3 linked regions of the Callithrix jacchus genome follow. The protein of the gene in region 3 interacts with the protein of the main gene of each other region in a pairwise test. Links are inferred from orthologs where the notes say so. Each region holds a gene or a part of one and is shown on either strand. Other genes may lie near its edges.

Region 1 (7,720 bases), on a different chromosome or scaffold from region 3:
TGCGGAACACAAGCCCTGGTGGCCTGCCCAGCCACACTGCTTTTCCTCTTCACAGGGGTCATGGGGCCAGCTCACAGATGCTTCTCCCTCTCACTGCCAGGCTGCTCTTCCCGCAAAAGATTCAAGATAAGGAGTCTCCCCAAAGGGCGGTGATTCCTGCCTGGCCTCCCTGCCAGACAGGACGGCCCTCATCAGAGAAGAGTCAATGCTGCGCCTCCGCCTCTCCCTCTTACCCCTCAACTCAAGATCTGTCTGTAGAAGGCAGAAAGCCCTTCCTCCCATCTAGGCTTCGTCCCTTCTGTAAGAGCATCGTGCTGTAGCTCTCATGTCCTCAGGGGAGGCGGAAACCTGCAACCTCATGCCCTCTCGGTAGCAGTCAGTCAGCAGGACAGGGTGCATTCTCTTTTCCTCTGTCTCAAGTCCCATTAGCCTTCTCCACAATCAATCATCCCCAGGCCCAGGGTCCCCACCTGCCCTCATGGGATGCAGAATGGTAGTGGCAAGCTTGGTACTCCGGCTGCACCATCACATAAAGAGAACCCATTTCCCAGACCCCAAATCCACGCCCATTCTGGTGTCAGATGTCCAGCTGGCAGCAACGCCAGAACCAGGCAGGTCTGGAGGACAATCTGACACCAGCTCCTCCCTAGAGGGCCAAGGCTCTGGCTGACAGGCAGCACGCATGCCCCCTACCTCCATCACCAGAAAGGCCCTCCCGGCAGCTGCCTATCTCAGGTCTCTTGGGCTCCAGAGCAGAGGACAGCCAGTTCCCCGTCAAGAGCAGCCTGGCAGCACTGCCTGGCCCACTCCAGCAGGGCATTAGCCCAGGCCTAAATCAGACTCCCGTTTCTCTCCACTCCCCACAGAGCAGCACCCCGTTATCTTGGCACAACCCCAGCCTCCAGCAAAGCAGGCAACTCCCACCTCTTACACAGGGACAAGCCCAAAACACCCATGGTTCTACCTAAGTCAAGCTAGGAGGCAGCACAGCTTTGACCCCGGCCTCCTGTTTCCTGCTCAACCTCCTCCCAACACTCACCACAGCCCTGCCTTACGGAGAAGCCTCCTCCACTGGGAACTAAAGATCAAGCCACTGGGGAGGTTTCAGAGGGCTGCTGGCCGGGACAGGTATCACTCGTGCCTACCAAACCTGCCCTACATTCACCAGCCACATTCTTTATTCTCTTCTCAGCCAGAGGCTCTCAAAAGGGAGTGCAGAAACTTCCACTCACACCTGTAATCCCAGCACTTTGGGAAGCTGAGGCAGATGGATCACCTGAGGCCAGGAGTTCGAGACCAGCCTGCCCAACGTGGCAAAACCCTGTCTCTACTAAAAATACAAAAAATTAGCCAGCCATGGTGGCCCGAGCCTATAATCCCTGCTACTTGGGAGGCTGAGGCAGGACAGTCACTTGAACCCGGGAGGTGGAGGTTGCAGTGAGCCGAGATTGCACAACTGCACTTCAGACTGGTGACAGAGCGGATTCCATCTCAAGAAAAAAAAATCCTTTTCAGAGCTACATGAGGCAATACGGCAGGATGGGTTCTGGGCTTGGAATCAGGGCCCAAATGCCAGTCTTGGTGCTGCTTGGGTCTCACTGTACGACCCTGGGCAAATTACTTAAGTTCCCTGAGTTTCAATTTCCTCATCTGTAGAATGGGGATAATGATACCCGCTTCTTTTTTTCTGAGACAGAGGCTCACTCTGTAGCCCAGGCTGGAGTACGGTGACACAGCTCACTGCAGCCTTGAGCTCCCTGGACTCAGGTAATACTCCCACCTCAGCCTTCCCAGTAGCCGGGACCACAGGCTTGCACCACCATGCCCAGTTAATTTTTCTATTTTTTGTAGAGACAGGGTTTTGCCATGTTGCCCAGGCTGGTCTGGAACTCCTGGGCTCAAGCAACCTGCCCCTCTGGGCCTCCTAAAGTGCTGGGATTACAGGTTTGAGCCATCGAGCCTGGGCAGCCTTAAGTTTGAAGTGAGACTAGCTAATGAAAGTGCTTGGTTTCTGTAAAGTCTTACCTTGATCTTGAGTTACCATTTGTCAAGTACTTACAGGGCAGATAGGTATTAGTATTCCCATTTTGACAAAGAGGTCACTGAGGCTCAGGTAATGGAATGAGGGACAGAGGTGGGTCTCAAACCCAGCTCAGTTCAAGCCCAAAGCCCTGTGCTCAGAACTGCCCCACCATCCCATCTCTCCAAATAAACAGTCCTTCTGTAGACTAGTCAATGGACCGATCTCATCCTAAAGTGGCTCCAGGAAGGGAAAAAGGCTGGCAGCCCTAGCCTGTCTTTTCTTGTTCCTATGCACTGAATTCTCAAAGCCTCAGCCCTGGCATTCCAAACAGAAGTTCCAGAGGGAATGGGGTGGAGCCAGGGTGCAGGGGAGGGGTGGAGTGGGTTCGGGAGGGCTCAAGTCACCCAAGCTGGGCTCCATCTAGCAAGAAATGACTAACTGGATCCTATCTTCTCCTCCTCCCCCGCGCCCCCAGTCCAGTCAGTGGCCAGTTTTCACCAGGCATCTCCTAGCAGTACTTCCTCAGTAGTATCTTTTCATCATAGCCACAAACCAGATTAGCTAAACTAATCATTTAGCCAACACAATTACAATGCCCTCCCCTCCTCCACCTTGGCACGGAGAAGAGGGAAAGCAGGTTATTTTTGCCCAAACTCCGTGCCCTGTTGCTCCCCAGAGGCAGGCAGCACCCCTTTCCCCAGCAGAAAAGGATCTGAGTTCCCACACTGGCTTCCCCCTGGTCCAGGGCTGTGCATGATCCCCACCCAGGACAAAGGGGCTGAGTCTGGCCCCCCAGCCTCAATCCCCCATCTACAGCAAAGAAAGAGGTGGCAGGCTCTTCCCCTCCAAGCACTCTCGATCCCCAGTTCTGCAATCTTTCTCCCACCCCCAGGACTGAGAGAGAACCCAACTCTTATATTCCCTCTCTGTTCCCAAGGCTGGGCTCCAAATCCTGCAAAATGACCGCACTTAGGACTTTTTAAAACCAGGGTAGAAAGCCTGGTGACGACCCCCAATTCTGGAGGCGGGGTCTCAGGAAATTGGGAGTAGGGAAGGAGGTGGGGGCGGTGGGGGGGGGCATTCACCTCTCCTGAGGGAGTCTAACATTGAAGAAACCTTCCCCTCCAAAAGCCTTTCTCCAGTCTCACTTTCCCTGTCAAATTCTTTCAGGAAAGGGGATAGGAAAGGTCTGCCCAGGCCTCCAGAAAGCATGCACCTTCATAATTCAGAAATCAAATGGAAGGCAAGCCCCACAGCCTCATGCTCTTCTGCCTCAATTACCAGCCAGCTAAGTAATGTGGGGGATGGGGTAGAGAAAAAAAAAAGACAAGAACATCCATTCCCCCCACCTTCCTAGCTTGGCCCAGCCCTGCCCCACCCCCATTCCTGGGGAGGGGGCAGAGCTTGAGAAAGAGCCACTCACGCAGGCCATGTCTGAGGGGGTGTGGTGGTCCCCGGAGGCAGGAAGAGAAAGAGAAGGAAGAAGCTGCTTCCCCTCTCGGCCCTTTCCACCCACCCCACCCCGGCCCCCACCTCAGGCCCCTGGGGCGCAGCTAACAGGATGGATGTGGGGGCAGGGAAGCCAGGGTCAGAGCGCAGGCAAAGGCCCAGGTTCAGCCGGGGGCCGGCTGGGGGAGGGGACTTTGCACCAAGAAGGACCTCCTAAGCCTAAAGGAAGTTCTGGGCAAGGAGACGGGAAAACCCCCAGAGAACGCTGCTGTGAATACTTCCTCCTGCAAAGTTTGTTTTGGGTGATTTTTCCAACAATAAGAGGTTAGAAAAGAAGACGATTCCTGTTCCCCTACCAACACTCTGGCAGCCACAGCTACTGGAAACTGGGCCAGGTGACCCTGAATGCTTCACTCGTGCACAGACCCCTCCCCCCAGACCGAGCCACGGGTGCCAAACACCAGCTGGACACTGGGCCGAGCCGTGCACCAGCCCCCACTGTCACTCCATCCCACCTCTGCTGGAGAAGCCAGAGCCGGGCACCCACTGGAGTGGAGGGAGGCGCCGCAGGTAGTATCGACGAGGCTCCGGGAGCTGGAGGGCTGGGCCTCTGGACTCCGTGCGCTCACCTGCTCGGCAGGTGGGGCCAGCGTCACTGGGAAAATGTGCGCTCGGCCCCCACAGTTGGGCAAGCTGGGCGCAGACAATAGGGCCCCACCCAGGCCTGGGGGAGTAGAGAGGGAGGGAAAGCGAGGATGACGCGTGGGGTGGGGTGAGGGTGGCCCCAAAGAGACCAGCGGCAGCAAGTTTCCCAAACGGTAAATTACTGACTGCAGCGAGAGCCCTGGGACGCAGTCAAAGCAGGGCAAAGTCTCCCCCTCCAGCTCAGGACGAGAGTCAGGGACGCGGCGTCGGGCGAGCTGTGCGGGCCCCGGGAGGGGCGCGACCCCCGAGGCATCTGCCCGGAGCCCTCCCGCCCTGCTCAGATCTCCCGCTCGCGGAGCTCCTAAGCGCGCTCGGCCCGAACCGCGCGCCCCCCCAGTCGCCGCGCCCAGGACCCCAGCGCGCCCCCTGCTGCCAGTGCAGGGTGGCGCTCCATGGCACCCGCCCTCACCTGCCCAGAGACTGCTGGGACCGGCCCCGCGGCCGCTCGCCACCCCTTCTCTCCCCATCGATACCTGTCCTCGATCGCCCGCACCTGAGTCTGGGGCCTGGCCGGCCGGGTAGAAATCGGGCCGGGGTGGGAGCCGGCGCGGACAGCGAACTGAACTCGGCGCGCTCGGGCGGCGGCTGCTCCGGACTCTGGCCAAGGCAGCAACTCAGTAACCGAACAAAAGGCGAAGAGACCTGACAGCCAAGCCACGCCCCTCGCCACCTCGAAACTCCGCCCCTGGGGGAGACGCCCACCCGCTGATGCGAGCTCACTGGCTGTCTCGCCTGACTGTCCCGTCAAGGGGTGGAGCCTCGCGTCCAGTCCTTCTCCACGGCCGCCTCTGTTTATCCGCTTGCCATTGGCCCCAGGGACTGCCAGTCGGCTCTAGGGATGGACTCTAACTTGAGATCTCATCCTAACACTTCACCAATTGGCAGATAGAAAGTTACTTTCTCCTGATTGGGCAAGGGACTGTCAGTAAGACTAAGGAAAAAAACCAATGGAAGGTATGGGGTGTGTCTTGCCCCACCCTTGCTCTGAGCAGGTGAGACTCACTACTCTCCCCTTCCCCCTACCTGTCCAACAGGTAAGTCAGGGGATACCAAGGGAAGGGACAGACGCCTTCACCAGCCAGCCAACTCAGCGTCAGGCATGATGCTTCTTTGGGCTTATTCATCCTTGCCCCAAAGTGGTAATAACATATTTGTATGGCATTTCATAGGCTTTGTGCTGGGTTGGGATTTTTTTCCCCAAAGATGGAGTACTTCTGGGATTCAGAATTAGAAGGCCAGGGTTTGTGTTTTGCCGCTTACTATGACCTTAGACAAGTTACTTCACCCTTCCCGCTGTTTCTCCTCATCTGTAAACTGGGTACATTAGCCATATCTACCTCACTGGAGTATGTGGGGATTAAATGAAGTCAGGTTTGTGGAAGCACTCAGAAACTGATAAAGATTAGAATTTAAATTAATGGTATGGGTTTTTTGTTTTCGTTTTTCTTTTTTAATTCTCGTGACAGCTCTGAAAAATAGGACTAGAAAATGATCCTCATCGTAAAGATGAAGAAACCGAGGTTCAGAGAAATCACAAAACTACAAAGTGACACACCCCAAGCTAGAACCACCTTCCTCTCATTTGAAGGACCACCAAATCAGCTGTTCCCCTCATGGAAGAAGAGCATAGACATAAAATGTCAAGGCAGTGGGGAAGGGGCAGAGAAAAGGCACAAGATAGAGACAAGATAGAAAAATTGGAGGTGAGATAGAACAACTGCTTGGCCCAAAAATACAGTATTGGTGTCAGGAGGCTTTGGTGGGCTTGGAAACATCAAGCTGCAGATCTGAAGGAAATCCAGCCCTAGCATGAAAGAAACAGGGCAGGCGGGGTGCACTGGCTCACGCCTGTAATCCCAGCACATTGGGAAGCCGAGGCGGGTGGATCACCTGAGGTCGAGAGTTTGAGACCAGCCTGGCCAATATGGTGAAACCCCGTCTCTACTAAAAATAGAAGTTAGGCTTTCATGGTGGCAGGCACCTGTAATCCCAGTTGCTTGGGAGGCAGAGGCAGGAGAATTGCTTGAACTTGGGAGGCAAAGGTTGCAGTGAGCCAAGATCCTGCCACTGCACTCTAGCCTGGGCATGACAGAGCAAGGCTCCATCTCAAACCAAGGAAAAAAGAAACTGGGCAGCATACCCCTCCACGGTGGGAGAGCCTGGAGTAGAGATCAGAAAGAATTTCTCAGCCAGGTGTGGTGGTTTGTGCCTGTAATCCTAGCACTTTGGGAGGCCAAGGTGGGCAGATCACTTGAGGTCAGGAGTTTGAGACCAGCCTGGGCAGTGTGGTGAAACCCTGTCTCTATTAAAAATACAAAAATTAGCCAGGATGGTGGTGGGCACCTGTAATCCCAGCATTTGGGAGGCAGACACAAGCAGATCACCTGAGGTCAGGAGTTCGAGACCAGCCTGGCCAACATGGTGAAACACTGTCTCTGCTAAAAATACAAAAATTAGCCCGGTGTGGCAGTGGGCATCTATAATCCCAGCTACTCAGGAGGCTGAGGCAGGAGAATCGCTTGAACCCAGGAGGCAGAGGTTGCAATGAGCCAAGATCATGCCATTGCACTCTAACCTGGTGACAGAGTGAGACTCTGTCTCAAAAAAATAAGAACTTCTCATAGGCAGCTTAAGAAGACAAGGACACTTCCTTTCTGTAGTTGATGATGTGAATCCTGCTTATGCTGCTGGTGGCTGTATGGTGTGTCAAGGGCCCTACAAACATTCCTTCATTCAGCACTTGAGTATTGAGTGTCAACTGTATGTTAGGCACTGGTGAATACAGAAAGTAAAACCTGGTGACACAGAAAATAAAAATCTCAACCTTCACTGAGCTCATAGAATGATATGCAGAAGGAGCCTGTGGGTGGGTGCTGGGGGAATGGTGGTTTAGAAAAGGGTCCCCCATTTGGGCCGGGCGCGGTGGCTCACGCCTGTAATCCCAGCTACTCGGGAGGCTGAGGCAGGAGAATTGCCTGAACCCAGAAGGCGGAGGTTGCGGTGAGCTGAGATCGCGCCATTGCACTCCCGCCTGGGTAAACAAGAGCGAAACTCCATCTCGGGGCGGGGGGGGAAAGAAAGAAAAGAAAAGGGTCCCCCATCAACAAAGCTCTACAGCCTCAAAGCTAGCACACAGGATGGGCTGGATGAAGGTACCTTAGCAGCATCCTTGACCATTTTCCCCACTGGAGAAAGGACTGGCAGCTGAATATTCTCCCTTCTGAAGTCACGCCATCCAAGAGCAGGGCCAGGGACATATGGACATCCCTGGACTAGTGGCCATCCCATACCCAGAGCCACTGCCCTTTGCTTGTTTCCCCAACTTCCCCTCCTCTAGCTTACCTCCCTATCTTTATCCCTGCCTTACCCCTGCCCCATCCACCTGCTTGTCACCCTGTCACATAGAGCTGTGGCCAGGCCACAGCTGGGGAGAGAAAGGGCTCACAATCCTGAACTGCTGAAGCTGCCGGGGTTTCATTTCTTCCCCCTCCTGCCCATCTCCCACCTTCCCATTTCCACACAGGCACACAAACATACTTCCCG
Region 2 (6,927 bases), on a different chromosome or scaffold from region 3:
CTTTGTCCACCCTGCCTCTGCCCTCTGTCCACCCTGCCTGCCTGTCCGTGCGGCTCTCTGCCCTCTGTCCACCCTGCCTGTCTGCCTGTGCGGCCCTCCACCCTCTGTCCACCCTGCCTCTGCCCTCTGTCCACCCTGCCTGTCTGCCCCTGTGGCCCTCCGCCCTCTGTCCACCCTGCCTGCTTGTACGTGTGGCTCTCTGCCCTCTGTCCACCCTGCCTGTCTGCCCATGCGGCCCTCCGCCCTCTGTCCACCCTGCCTGCCTGCCCGTGTGGCCCTCCGCCCTCTGTCCATCCTGCAGTGTGCTGAGTGTGGCCTAGACACTTCCTCTCTGCCTTCCTGGCCTCCATCCACCCACTGGCCTCTTCGCCGACTGCTCCACGTGGGTTCCCTTGACCCTCCCCCGCGTCCCATGCCCCGCGTTCCTGCTGGCCTTGGGCTCAGGGAACCTACCGCCCGGAAGTCTCGGTGGAGCTTGCTGTACTGCCACAGGTTGGCCAGGAGGCTGGAAGCTGCCCGGGAGGACTTCTCACTGTCAGGGCTGAGGGTGGAGGGAAGTCAGGAGGGGACACAGTCAGAAAGCAGGTGGCTGGGAGGGGCCCGGAGAGCCCCCTGGCTGGGCTGCTGCAGGGCAGGGCCGGCCCCCACCTGTCCCGCTTCTTCTTGATGAAGACAAGCTTTCGGAGCCCGTCGAAGTAGAGCAGGTCCCGGGCGGCGATGGGGCTGGCCACCACCAGGTTGTTGAGCACGGCTATGATGTTGACCAGCACCTCGGCGGGCGGAGACTTCTCACCCACGCTGCCCGGTAGCTTCTCGATCAGGTGGCTCACGACCTTGGTGGCTGCGGGAGGTCGGGGGTCCGTCTACTCCCCACTCCAGCCACCCGGGCACTGGGGGTCCCCTGCCTCCCCCAGGGAGCTGCGTGCCTGTCTACTCCCTGTGGAGTGGCCGGGAGCCCCCGTAACGTGTGTGGACACGGCGGGGCGGGAACGGGGCTGCTCGACTCACACATCTCGTCCTTGTTCCGCGCGTTCCGAGACAGGTTTCGGATGAGGCCGGTCAGCGAGCGAAGCTGGTGGTGGTCGGCAGTGCGGACGCGGTCCAGCAGGGGGTTCAGGATCCGCTCCTGCTCCAGTGCCAGGCGGCTCAGCACCCCCGCCCACTGCAGGGAGAGAGGGAGGGAGGGAGGGAGGCACGCGCGGTGACCGGAGGCCTCAGACCCTCACCTGGGGGGATCCTGCCACCCTGGGGTCCCTGCATCCTCCTGCCACCCCGGGGGGTGGGGGCTCTGCTTCTGCCTTTGCCCCCAGGGACAAAGCCAGGGGCGTCAGCCCAGGCAGGATCAGGTGCCTCCCTTCAAACTCAGGGCAAAACCTAAGTCCTCCCAAGGCCCAAGGCCTGCCCACCGGTCGCTGGCCTCAGATGCTCCGAGGCACCACCTGCCTCCTCCCCTCCCCCTTCCTCTCCTGCCCCTCCCCCCGCAGCATGAACTCTCGGGAGCCCCTGGGTCTGGGGGTGCGCCCACCCTGCGGTCGCCCGCGGTGATGTTCTGCAGCGCCCCCGCGGCCGCCTCTGTCGTGTGCCGGTTGAGTTCGCAGCGCTGCAGCAGCCGGTTGTACAGCCCCACGATCTGGGGGCTCCACAGCCACTCGAGGCCCTTGGGGTCCTTGGACACTTCCGCGAAGGTGAGCGCGTCGGCTGTGAGAGGCAGCTGCGCGGGGCGGGGCCGGGGTCAGCGGGGCGGGGTCGGACCCACACCCCCCACGCCCCGCCCAGGCCTGTGCCCGCCCACCCCCACGCCCCGCCCAGGCCGGTGCCCGCACGCCCCGCACGCCCCGCCCAGGCCGGTGCCCGCCCACCCCACACGCCCCGCCCAGGCTGGAGTCCACGCCCCACCCAGGCCGTTGCCCGCACACCCCACGCCCCACCCAGGCCTGTGCCCATCGACTCCCCACGCCCCGCCCAGGCCGGTGCCCGCCCCTCCCCACGCCCCGCCCAGGCCGGTGCCCGCCCCTCCCCACGCCCCGCCCGGGCTGGTGCCTGCCCCTCCCCACGCCCCGCCCAGGCTGGTGCCCGCCCCTCCCCACGCCCCGCCCAGGCCGGTGCCCGCCCACCCCACACGCCCCGCCCAGGCTGGTGTCCGCGCCCCACCCAGGCCGTTGCCCGCACACCCCACACCCCACCCAGGCCTGTGCCCACCGACTCCCCACGCCCAGCCCAGGCCGGTGCCCGCCCACCCCGCACGCCCCGCCCAGGCCGGTGCCCACCTCGCGCAGCCGCCGGCTCTGCGGCGTGAAGCAGCCCACCATCTCGCCCGGCGGCGCCCCGGCCAGGTCCCTGCGGCCGCGGCCCTCCAGCCGCTGCAGCGCAGAAGGCGGCATCTCGTCGTACAGGCGGTAGGACAGGTTCCGCAGCACGCACACCGCGTTCTCCACGCTCTGCGGGCAGGGGCGCGGGTCAGGGCGGCGGCGTCGAGGGCCACGGGCCCCCCTCCGCAGCGCGGACCTCACCTTGTCCTCGCACTTGCCCACGTCCAGGGCGTGGTTGATGTAGGTGACCAGGGCGTCCACCAGTCCGTGGCACTCCCGCATTTTCTGGCGAGTGGCCTGAGAGGCTGAGCTGAGGTTCCTGGGGACAGAGGCAGATCAGAGCCCCCCAGGGACCCCCAGGCCCAGGCCCTGCTTTGGGCAGAGGCCCTGAGCACGATGCCGTCCCACCCTGGGCCCTGCTCGCCCCACCCCCAGTGCGCCCCTTGCAGTGTGTGGGGCTGTGGGCGCCGGGCCAGGCGGGGTCCCTGACAACACGTGCCTGCGGCCCCCACCCATCTGCCGAGGCCGCGCACCTGAGGAAGCCGGTGGCGTTGTAGAAGATCTCCGCCTCTGAGGCGTTCTGCTGGATGAGTGGGGGACCCCCAGACCCCGACAGGGGGCTCAGCACCAGGTCGGTGAGCTGTTCCAGAGTGTCTCTGGCCAGGCGGTCCTTCAGGTGGTCGCTGGATGAAAGGTTCCACAGGATTCCTGGACGAGGGGGAGGCTGCTGTGAGCGTCAGCCCTCCAACCCCCTGGGCGTTTCTGAGGATGGTGCGAGGAGGTCCTGCCTCTCCCCAGGGCTGGCCCTGTGTTCTGTGCCTCATTCACGAGCCCCACTGGGGAGACCCTGGGGTGGCATCTGGGGTGACAGAGCTCGGACCAAGCAAGAGGGGACGAGCTGGTTGGGGTGTGAGCGGGCTTGGGGTGGAGGTAGCTACCAGAAGACTCAGCCGCAGAACAGGGTGACCAGGGGTCCAGGAAAGAGGCAGGAGTGGAGGCCAAGTAGAAACAGCCAGCAAAGGGCTGAACAGCAGGATGGAGGGGAGCCGTATGGCGTGGAGGGGCCAGCACGGAGGAGAAAGGACAGTCGGAGGAGGGAGGGGAACAGGCAGAAGAGGGGTCAGGCGGAGGAAGGGACAGGCAGAGGAGTTGGAGGTAGAGGAGGGAGAACAGGTCGGGGGACACAGGACAGGAGGAATGGGGCCAGGCAGAGGGTGTAGGTGGAGGAGGGAGGACAGATGGAGGGCAGGTGGAGGAAGGCTGGGAGGAGGAGGGGCCAGGCAGCACCTGTGACGTTTTTGCGAAGCTCATCGTCCTGCTCCCGCAGGGTCCGAAGCAGCTCAAAGATCCCGTTCTCCTCCACCAGCGCCAGCTTGTTGTCTGCATTGTCGTAGATGAGGTTGCGCATGGCGCCTGTGGCGTGGCGCTGCACTTCCTGGTTGGCATGGTTAAAGAGCTTCACCAGCCTCGGCACGGCCTGAAGGCTGCGGGCCTGTGGGCACAGGGATATGGGGTGAACAGACTAGATACATGTGTGTAGATATGTCCAGGTGTATAGATATGGATATGCAGGTGATGCAGGTGTATACACAGGTGCAGAGGTGATGAGGTGTGTGCAGGGAGCTGGAGGTGATGCAGGTGTACACAGGTGCAGAGGTGATGAGGTGTGTGCAGGGAGCTGGAGGTGGTGTAGGTGTACACAGGTGTACGGAGGTGATGCAGGTGTACACAGGTGTACGGAGGTGATGCAGGTGTGTACACAGGTCTACGGAGGTGATGCAGGTGTATACAGAGGTGCAGAGGTGATGAGGTGTGTGCAGGGAGCTGGAGGTGATGCAGGTGTGTACAGGTGTACGGAGGTGATGCAGGTGTACACAGGTGTACGGAGGTGATGCAGGTGTGTACACGGGGCTACGGAGGTGATGCAGGTGTGTACACGGGGCTACGGAGGTGATGCAGGTGTGTACACGGGGCTACAGAGGTGGTGCAGGTGTGTACAGGGCTACGGAGGTGGTGCAGGTGTGTACAAGGCTACGGAGGTGATGCAGGTGTGTACACGGGGCTACAGAGGTGGTGCAGGTGTGTACAGGGCTACGGAGGTGGTGCAGGTGTGTACAAGGCTACGGAGGTGGTGCAGGTGTGTACACGGGGCTACGGAGATGATGCAGGTGTGTACACGGGGCTACGGAGGTGGTGCAGGTGTGTACAAGGGTACGGAGGTGATGCAGGTGTGTACACGGGGCTACGGAGGTGGTGCAGGTGTGTACACGGGGCTACGGAGGTGATGCAGGTGTGTACACGGGGCTACGGAGGTGGTGCAGGTGTGTACACGGGGCTACGGAGGTGGTGCAGGTGTGTACACGGGGCTACGGAGGTGGTGCAGGTGTGTACACGGGGCTACGGAGGTGGTGCAGGTGTGTACACGGGGCTACGGAGGTGGTGCAGGTGTGTACACGGGGCTACGGAGGTGGTGCAGGTGTGTACACGGGGCTACGGAGGTGGTGCAGGTGTGTACACGGGGCTACGGAGGTGGTGCAGGTGTGTACACGGGGCTACGGAGGTGGTGCAGGTGTGTACACGGGGCTACGGAGGTGGTGCAGGTGTGTACACGGGGCTACGGAGGTGGTGCAGGTGTGTACACGGGGCTACGGAGGTGGTGCAGGTGTGTACACGGGGCTACGGAGGTGGTGCAGGTGTGTACACGGGGCTACGGAGGTGGTGCAGGTGTGTACACGGGGCTACGGAGGTGGTGCAGGTGTGTACACCGGGCTACGGAGGTGGTGCAGGTGTGTACACGGGGCTACAGAGGTGGTGCACATGTACACGGGGCTACGGAGGTGATGCAGGTGTGTACACGGGGCTACGGAGGTGATGCACATGTACACGGGTCTACGGAGGTGATGCAGGTGTGTACAGGGCTACGGAGGTGGTGCAGGTGTGTACACGGGGCTACGGAGGTGATGTAGGTGTGTACAAGGCTACGGAGGTGATGCAGGTGTGTACACAGGTCTATGGAGGTGATGTAGGTGTGTACAAGGGTACAGAGGTGATGCAGGTGTGTACAGGGCTACGGAGGTGGTGCAGATCTGTATAGGGTATGGAGGTGATGCAGGTCTGTATAGGTATATGTGGCTGATACAGGTATATCCACATTGTATTCTCCTACTCTTCCTTTATGAGGGGGCTCTGGACAGAGTAGGGTCTGCCCAGTCAGCCTGGGGATCTTGAGGGGTGGTCAGGGAGCAAAGGTCAGTGGGAGGTGGTGGAGCCCCAAAGGTGGTCACCTGGGGGCAGTGAGCAGGTGGTCAGGGATGGTCACCTGGGGGCAGTGAGCGGGTGGTCAGGGGTGGTCACCTGGGGGCAGTGAGCGGGCGGTCAGGGGTGGTCACCTGGGGGCAGTGAGCGGGTGGTCAGGGGTGGTCACCTGGGGGCAGTGAGCGGGCGGTCAGGGGTGGTCACCTGGGGCAGTGAGCGGGCGGTCAGGGGTGGTCACCTGGGGGCAGTGAGCGGGTGGTCACCTGGGGGCAGTGAGCGGGTGGTCAGGGGTGGTCACCTGGGGGCAGTGAGCGGGTGGTCACCTGGGGCAGTGAGCGGGTGGTCAGGGGTGGTCACCTGGGGGCAGTGAGCGGGTGGTCAGGGGTGGTCACCTGGGGGCAGTGAGCGGGCGGTCAGGGGTGGTCACCTGCTTCTTGGCGGCGGCATCGCTGTAGCACTTGTGCTGGATGTAGGCTGCTCCCAGCACTTGCAGATTGGGGTCTGAAGCCATGAGGTACTTGACTGCTGATGGCAGGTCAATGTCATCAAAACTGCAGAGCCAGGAGTCAGAGGTCAGGGGTCAGGCTAAACTTGGGTTCAGGCTGGGGCCATGGCAGAAGCCCCCTCCCTGTGCCAGGCACAGCCCCTCACCCGCTGCTGAGCCTCTGCAGGGTTCGGTGGCCACTGTAGCTGTTGAACTCACGCACGTCCCCCAGGTGACCTGAGTCAGCCAGGCTGAGGCTGAGGCTGCGCACAGATGGTGCTCGGGCCACAGGCTCCAGGACGGGCCCAGGCGCTGTCCCGCCTACCCCGCGGCTCCGGTGGCTGCTCTGGAATCGCTGCAGGGTCCTCATAGCAGGGGCACGGATGGTCCGGCTCGGGGGAAGCTCGCTGGCCTCTGGCCAGTCCAGCCCCCCTGCCCGGGCCGAGCTGGAGCTGGCCTGGCGCTCGTAGGCAAAGGTCCTGTAGGTGGAGGTGGCCGCGGGCTCCAGCTGCTCAGACACCACACTGTAGCGGTCGTCCAGGCCCCCAGCCCCCAGCCGCAGGGAGCGCAGGGACAGCGTGTCATACTCGGCCCTGCTCCCAACCCCACCATGCTCGTGGAAGGACACAGGCCTGGTGGGCATGGGAGGGGTGGGCTGGGCACCCCCGTACCCAGCGGCCACAAAGGCGCTGCCCCCGTTGTGGGCGGAACTCAGCCTCCGACTGCAGCTCAGGTCCACGGCAGAGCGGGAGGACCAGGAGGCTGGACTGTAGGGTGGCTTGGCAATGGGCCGGAAGCCCTGTGGGTGGAGGGGGCAGTGAGGACGCGCCTGGCTCACCTGTGCCCAGCCTGCTGCAGAGCCTCCCGCTCTCCAGACTG
Region 3 (7,444 bases):
CCCATAAGTAAGCTGCCCTCGTGCTAACTAGGCTATATCTTCAATCTTCTTCAAACATTTATGTATAAGTACCACAGTGACTAAAAAGCAACCCACAATTAATTGCTTAAGCTTTACAAGTATGGTCATTTGCAATGTAGCAACTCCTTCATAATTATTTCCATCACTTTTCACAATACCTTTAATTTACTGACTAAATCTTAATAAAAGTTTTATTGCTAATAACTTCATAATTTTCTTTGTCCAACTTGTACTAAGTCCTCTCACATATGGTATCCAAAACATATACCTAGAGTTATTCTCCAACTCATATAAAATTACAAAGAAGAATCCTAAATAGTGGCAAAGCCTCTAAAACTCTGCAGTTGTCAAACCTATTCCTTTCAGGTGATATGCAAAAGCACACAAGGCAGCTAAGTTAAAATTACCATACTTTGATCACCTCTTGTTGGTTATTATGTGTTTTGTGTGTAATTTTCATAATCCAATTGCGTAAAAGAAAGAACAGGGATTTGGGATCTGATTAGTCCAGCCTGAATTGTGTGGTAGGCAAAATTCTAAGATGGCCCCAAGATTCCAAACCCTGCTGTTACACACCCTAAATAATCCCTTTCACTTGGACAGGACTTGTGAATATAATAGAATAATCACTTTCATAGTTGCATTCTATTATATAAAACTCTATTTGAGCAGACATCAGAGGAATTATCATGCTGACCTTGAAGAAGCAAAGTACCATGTTGTTGAAACAGCCACATGGCAAGGAACAGTGGGCAGCCTATAGGAAGTGAAAATGCCCCCCTACTGACAACCAGCAAGTCTAACAACCACAGGAGCTAAATTCTGCCAACAACTAGTTATCTTAGATGACCCCAAACCTCAGATGAGACTGCAGCCCCAGTCACCACCTTGAGACCTGATGAAACCCTGAGCAAAGGACCCAGTCAACACATAACCACACTCCTGACCTACAGAAACTGTGAGGTAATAAATTTGTGTTGCTTTAAGCCACTAAGTTCATGGCTCTTTCTCATGCAGCAATAGAAAACAAATACAAGTCACATGCCCACTCTTTGGCCAGAGGAGGGTGGGATACCTTGATTGATAGACAAAGTAATGCTTCATTCAATGACGGAGGGGTGTGCTCCTTAAGTACAACTGAGGTGTCAATGTCAGGAGGATAAATGCTGGAATAAAGAACAAAAAATACTCATCACAACACATTATCTGACATCTCATATGCCGTCAACATTCAACTCGTGACTCTTCCCTGCTGGAGGTTTTGCCTATTGCCATCTACACATCTCAATTTATGTGCCATTGTGCCAGAAAATAACAAATAATACATGAAGGCAACAAAACGAGTGAGAACACTAAGCTAATATTACAAGTTATAGCCCTGTCTGCCAATACACTCATGTGTCACTTAATGACAAGGATATATTCTGAAAAATCCATCCTTAGATGATTTCATCAATGTGCAAACGTTGTGGAGTATACTTAAACAAATCTAGATGGTATGGACTACCACACACTTAGTCTGTATAATATAGTTCCAGTACCCCAACTAGTACTGCTCCGAGGCCTATTAGGAACCATGCCACATAGCAGGAGGTGAGCAGGCGAGAGAGTAAACCTTCATCTTGATGCACAGCCATTACCCATTGCTCACATTACCACCTGAGCTCCACCTCCTGTCAGATCAGCATTAGATTCCCATAGGAGCATGAACCCTACTATAAAGTGCACAACCTACTGTGATCTAGGTTGTGTATTCCTTATGAAAATCTATTGCCTGATGATCTGTCACTGCCTCCCATCACCCCCAGATGGGACTGTCTAGCTGCAGGAAAACAAGCTCAGGCTCAGGGCTCCCACTGATTCTACATTATGGTGAGCTATGTATTACAATGTAATAATAATAGAAATAAAGTGTAGACTAAATGTAATACACTTGAATCATCTCAAAACCATCCCTCCTCCCCCAGCCTGTGGAAAATTGTCTTCCACAAAACTGGTCTCTGGTGGCAAAAAGGTTGGGGACCACTGGTGTAGCCTATTGCTCCTGGACTACAAACATATACAGCATATTCAGTAGGCAACTGTAACATAATAGTGTTTGTGTATATAAACATATCTATCTAAACAAAGAAAATATACAGTGAAAATACAGTATTAAAGTTTTATGGGACTGCTGCTGTATATGTGGTCCACCATTGACCCAAGTGTCATTATGAGATGCGTGACTGTAATTAGCTATGTGAACTTGGGCAGGCTATTCATGGGCCCCAGTTTCCCATCTCTAGATGAAGAGATTGGACCAGCTTTAATATTTCTTCCAGCATTAAACTTCTATGATTTTATAAAATGCTCCCAAAACCATCAAAATAATTTAAGATAAATTTCTGATTTGCTATAAAAGAACAAAGAAATGCCATGCTGCTCCCAATCACATGCCCTGTTAAGCCAAATTAGCTTAATAGAAACTGCCACATAAAAGAACAGAAACAGGGAGTGGCAGGGAGGAGATCATCAGGATCACCAGTGGCTCTGTACAAACTAAACTTTGCACATGGTTGCAAAACAACGTTTTATGTTATTATTGTCATGAATTAGAAACATATGTATTTTACTTCTGTATTCCTAACTTGCCACTCACTGCATTAAATGACAATGCTAAAGGCCAGGCGTGGTGGCTCACACCTGTAAGCCCAGCACTTTGGGAGGCCAAAGTGGGCGGATCATGAGGTCAGCAGTTCGAGACCAGCCTGACCAACATGGTGAAACCCCATCTCTACTAAAAATACAAAAATTAGCTGAGCATGGGGGCGAGTGCCTGTAATCGCAGCTACTCAGGAAGCTGAGGCAGGAGAATTGCTTGAGGCTGGGAGGCAGAGTTTGCAGTGAGCTGAGATCACTCCACTGCACTCCAGCCTCGACAACAGAGTTAAGACTCTGTCTCAAAAAAACAAAAAACAAAAAGGTGACAATGGTAGAGACCTAAGATTGGAGCCAAAATAACTCATTTGGATTTGGAAATTCACACTTTTGGGGGGTGGAGTCTATACCAATTTTGATCTCTTGGCTCACTCTAGCACTATGATAACAGCAAAAAAAATATTATTTCACTGTTTTAAAAGCCTGCATTAACTCAAACAAGCTAAAAGTTTAAATGTTAAATATAGGTATTTCACTTGAAATGTTGCAAAGACATTTTAATCACAACTGTTCTCACAAAATACACCATAACTTTAGAATCGATTATTTTCCTCATAGTCTTGCCTTCCCCTCCCCCCCAAAAAAAAGCCCTCTCAAAGTAAAAATTTTGATTGAGCAATTTTAACCATAATCAATTCCCATTACTGTCAAGCTTTTAAACAAGTGAAGAGGATTCTTTAAAGGGGAAGGGAAGGTTACAGAAGAAAAAGTGCTTTCAGTAAATATTATCATCATTCAGCGGTACAGATAGATAAAAAGGGCTTCAAAATTAAAATATAAGAAGGAAAATGGTAAGGTTAAATTCTAGGTTATCTCAGGACACAGGTACAATCTAAGGACAAGATTAAAGAATAAAAACAGTTCTTGGACAGTATCTACTGGAAAAAGTGCAAGTGAATTTTGTGTTTACGATAAAATTTATGCCTGGCAATGTTGGGAATTACTTTGTTCCCATGCAGTATTCAGACAAAATGGGATCCCTCTGGTAGCTCTGCCAAAATTTTTTTTTAAAGATAAAATGCCTAAAAGAACAATCTCAAATAAGACAAAATTTGTCCTTACAAGTCTCAAATATTCCGCTCCTCTTCCACAATTAAGTGAGTGTAGACACTTAGCACCATAATTTGGTTTCGAGAATGGTATGAGAAGGTCTCAAGAAAATTTACACACCTTATCAAGTGGAATCACTTAACGTAGAGAGGCTTCCAAAGGTCGAGTTGCCCTCCTTATTATGAAATGTGCCATTATGAGAATGACGGTGGCACATCCACGAACACTTCTAGAAACTTAACCTAGTGAAAGGCCTTCTTTGTCTCAAATTGTCCATCGACGGAACTTGGCTCTCCCGTGGCGCCACGTGCCGCGCATAAGCCGCGCCAACCCGCGGACACAAACCCAAGTCTCAGTGCCCTGAGGTGGCCGAAGACAGCACAGACCTCGGTTCTCAGAGTTTGAAGAAATAACGCGGATAAAGCACCTAGGGCAGAAGCCACACCGAACCCGGGAAGGCATTAATGGCATTTAATGGTAATGAATGCAGACTAATGCGCAGAACTTGGTTCTCAGACAACGTTCCAGGCCACCCGTCTGCTGATAGAACGCAGAGCACTCTTGGAGCCTGACGTCTCACGGTTAAGCTCGGCAATGAGGGGATCACTGGGAATTTAAAAACTGGGAGACGGCTGCTTGGGCAGAAGCCCGGGAAGGATGGCCAGTATCCCGGTTCGTCACGCTTCCAGGCTCAATCAGCAAAAGAAACTGTTCTGAAGGAGACCCCCGTCTTGGCGGGAAACGCCACGGAAGACGCTCCTCTCACAGAAATGCAAAATTTTCGGGAGCGCGGGCCCGCAGCACGGAACGGAACAGATCTTTGTTTCACGGCCCTCTGGTAGACCTAATAAAGAAGCGGGAGGGGGAAAACCAGGTCAGTGACCAGAAGCCAGGCAAGGTTGCGATTTTCGGAGCACAGCGAAGGGAAGAGTTTCTAACATCTGAATATACCTCTACATAGGGTGCTTTCTATTATTTCTTCGTGTCCACGCTGTAGTTCCCGCACCCCAAGTCCTCAGCCCCGACGCCTCTCACCGAGCAGAGCTCAGAAGGGTGCACGCCCCGCCTTCACGGGCCTGGCGCCAGCGCAGTAGTGGTTACACTAAAGTGTCTCCGCCTCCCCTATCTCTTCATGGCAGCGATGGCCGAGTGGTTAAGGCGTTGGACTTGAAATCCAATGGGGTCTCCCCGCGCAGGTTCGAACCCTGCTCGCTGCGAAAGCGGGTGCTTCTGATCTTTTCGATTTTTTTTTTTTTTTTAATTAGACGCCTTCAAATGGAACCTCTTACTCTTTCCTCCGTATTTTCCATACCTGTCAGCTAACGGAGTCGTTTTACACGCTGTAAAAAAGCCGATAAAAATCAGTGCTGCAAATATGCACTGTTTACACCAAGAGAGAAGTCCTTCCACTGTCCTAAAAGGCAAAGTAGGTCTTCGTGCACTATGTGAAGAGCAACTTGGCAAAATAGAAATAAAATGAATATAAATATTGACGCAAGTTTTCGGGTTATCACAGCCTGATGATACTACACCTTACTAAACTAAGAACAAACCTAGCCACCTTCCCTTTCATCCCAGAATCACTTCCAATGGTTTCCAGACCACATCCAAACGTGATATGAAATGGAAGATAATAAAAGCAATTTTAAAGTTCTACTTATAAAGCATCTTAGATACATTCACATAATGAAACACTACACATGAAGCCATTAAAATTGTGTTAATAATGTGGGCGGGCCTTCCCAATGCATTGCCAAATGCAAAAAGTAGGACAGATCAAAAAACAGCATATCATATTATGATGACGTTTTTGTTAAGCAATTCCTGTGTATACCCATCTATGTGGGAAGAATGGGAGAGAGAGAGAGAGAGCTGGAGAATGAATGGAGACTGGAAAGAAATACACCAAAATGTTAGCAGGGATTATTATCCCTGGGTGTTGTGATTTGGGGAGCTTTTTATTTTCTTAAATAGTTTTTTCCTTAACTGGGTTTTCTAAAATTTCTACATGGACCCAGTATTATGTTTCAAATAAGAAAATTGTGAGGTTAATCTTTGAAACCCTACACATCCCCTGTCTGCTACCTTCCACCCACTTTCACCATCTCTCTCCCACTCCATGCTTCCCAGGTGCTTTTATGGACTTCCCTGATACTTCAAGGCTAGGGATAGTTTTCCGTGGTACCTGAAGTGGATTCCACCCACACAGCCCCATCCTATTTGAGACCTGACTGAACAAACACACACACTCACCACATTTACATTTTCTTTTTTCTTTTTTTTGCGACGGAGTCTCACTCCGCTGCCCAGGCTGGCGTGTAGTGGCGTGATCTCGGCTCACTGCAACCTCCACCTCCCAGGTTCAAGTAATTCTCTGCCTTGGCCTCCCGAGTATCTGGGATTACAGGTGCCCGCTATCATGCCAGCTAGTTTTTTTGTATTTTTCGTAGAGACCGGATTTCACCATCTTGGCCAGGCTGGTCTTGAACTCCTGACCTCATGATCCACCCACCTCAGCCTCCCAAAGTGCTGGGATTACAGGCATGAGCCACCGCACCCAGCCCATATTTACATTTTCTTTTTTTTTTTTTTTTTTTTTTTTTTTTTTTTTTTTTTTTTTGAGACGGAGTTTCGCTCTTGTTACCCAGGCTGGAGTGCAATGGCGCAATCTCGGCTCACCGCAACCTCCGCCCCCTGGGTTCAGGCAATTCTCCTGCCTCAGCCTCCTGAGTAGCTGGGATTACAGGCACGCGCCACCATGCCCAGCTAATTTTTTGTAATTTTTAGTAGAGACGGGGTTTCACCATGTTGACCAGGATGGTCTCGATCTCTTGACCATATTTACATTTTCAATCCATCCTCTGTGCCCAATCCCCACCATTTCCTCCCCCATTTAAGTCACTTAAAAGCAACTGCATTAGTTTCCTAACTGGTCGCCTTTCCTGTATCAGTCAGGATTACATTTAGCCGCAAATAACAGAAAATCCAATTCTAGTGGCTTAAACTCATAGAGATTTGTCTCGAAAAACCTGGGAGATTAATACCATTCCTGTATCCAAGAGAATAAAATGGTGTATAACTTACTCATTTCCATTTAAAAAATTAAAAAATATTTGACACTGCATTAAAATGCCAATCCTGGCTGGGCACAGTGACTCACACCTGTAATCCCAGCGCTTTGGGAGGCAGAGGCGGATAGATGACCTGAAGTCAGGAGTTCAAGACCAGCCTGGCCCACATGGTGAAAACCCCGTCTCTACTAAAAATACAAAAATTAGCTGGCCGTGGGGGCAGGAGCCTGTAATTTCAGCTACTTGGAGGCTGAGGCAGGAAAATCGCTTGAACCCAGGAGGTAGAGGTTGCAGTGAGCCAAGATAGTGCCACCGCACTCCAACCTGGACAACAAAAGTGAAACGCTGTCTCAAAAAAAAAAAAAGTTAATCCAAGAAAGGGCGATATCCAAAATTATAAATGAAAACATTCCATCAAAAAGGCAAATTAATTATCAATTTTATTTCTAAATAGTATTCTCCAAGCTGTAAAGGGAGCTTCATTTGACAACTCTTTTTTCTCATGAAATCATATCTTATTGTTTCAAGAAATTTTTTTAAATAAATAAGAAATGATGTTTCAAATATATAGTCACTTGTCACCATTTTTTTTTAAAAGAAAGAAC

The links.
Region 1: the proteins of CTNNA3 (region 3) and JUP interact in binary tests that used the Homo sapiens proteins (3 or more experiments, as listed by UniProt). The link is inferred for Callithrix jacchus from reciprocal best matches to the Homo sapiens genes CTNNA3 and JUP.
Region 2: the proteins of CTNNA3 (region 3) and PKP3 interact in a two-hybrid assay, tested with the Homo sapiens proteins (2 studies listed by IntAct). The link is inferred for Callithrix jacchus from reciprocal best matches to the Homo sapiens genes CTNNA3 and PKP3.

Annotation. Positions count from the first base shown.
Region 1 is NC_133506.1:91,453,786-91,461,505, reverse strand, and holds the start of JUP (junction plakoglobin), read right to left. Parts: upstream 4,501-7,720; 5' UTR 4,431-4,500; coding exon 4,304-4,430; exon of another isoform or gene 3,988-4,303; intron 1-3,987. UniProt on the Homo sapiens protein: Common junctional plaque protein. The membrane-associated plaques are architectural elements in an important strategic position to influence the arrangement and function of both the cytoskeleton and the cells within the tissue.
Region 2 is NC_133511.1:131,501,156-131,508,082, forward strand, and holds part of PKP3 (plakophilin-3), read right to left. Parts: intron 6,848-6,927; coding exon 6,216-6,847; intron 6,116-6,215; coding exon 5,992-6,115; intron 3,802-5,991; coding exon 3,597-3,801; intron 3,018-3,596; coding exon 2,843-3,017; intron 2,629-2,842; coding exon 2,511-2,628; intron 2,439-2,510; coding exon 2,268-2,438; intron 1,712-2,267; coding exon 1,526-1,711; intron 1,163-1,525; coding exon 1,009-1,162; intron 842-1,008; coding exon 649-841; intron 542-648; coding exon 454-541; intron 1-453. UniProt on the Homo sapiens protein: A component of desmosome cell-cell junctions which are required for positive regulation of cellular adhesion. Required for the localization of DSG2, DSP and PKP2 to mature desmosome junctions.
Region 3 is NC_133513.1:62,652,103-62,659,546, reverse strand, and holds the start of CTNNA3 (catenin alpha-3), read right to left. Parts: upstream 4,833-7,444; 5' UTR 3,889-4,832; intron 1,188-3,888; 5' UTR 1,097-1,187; intron 1-1,096. UniProt on the Homo sapiens protein: May be involved in formation of stretch-resistant cell-cell adhesion complexes.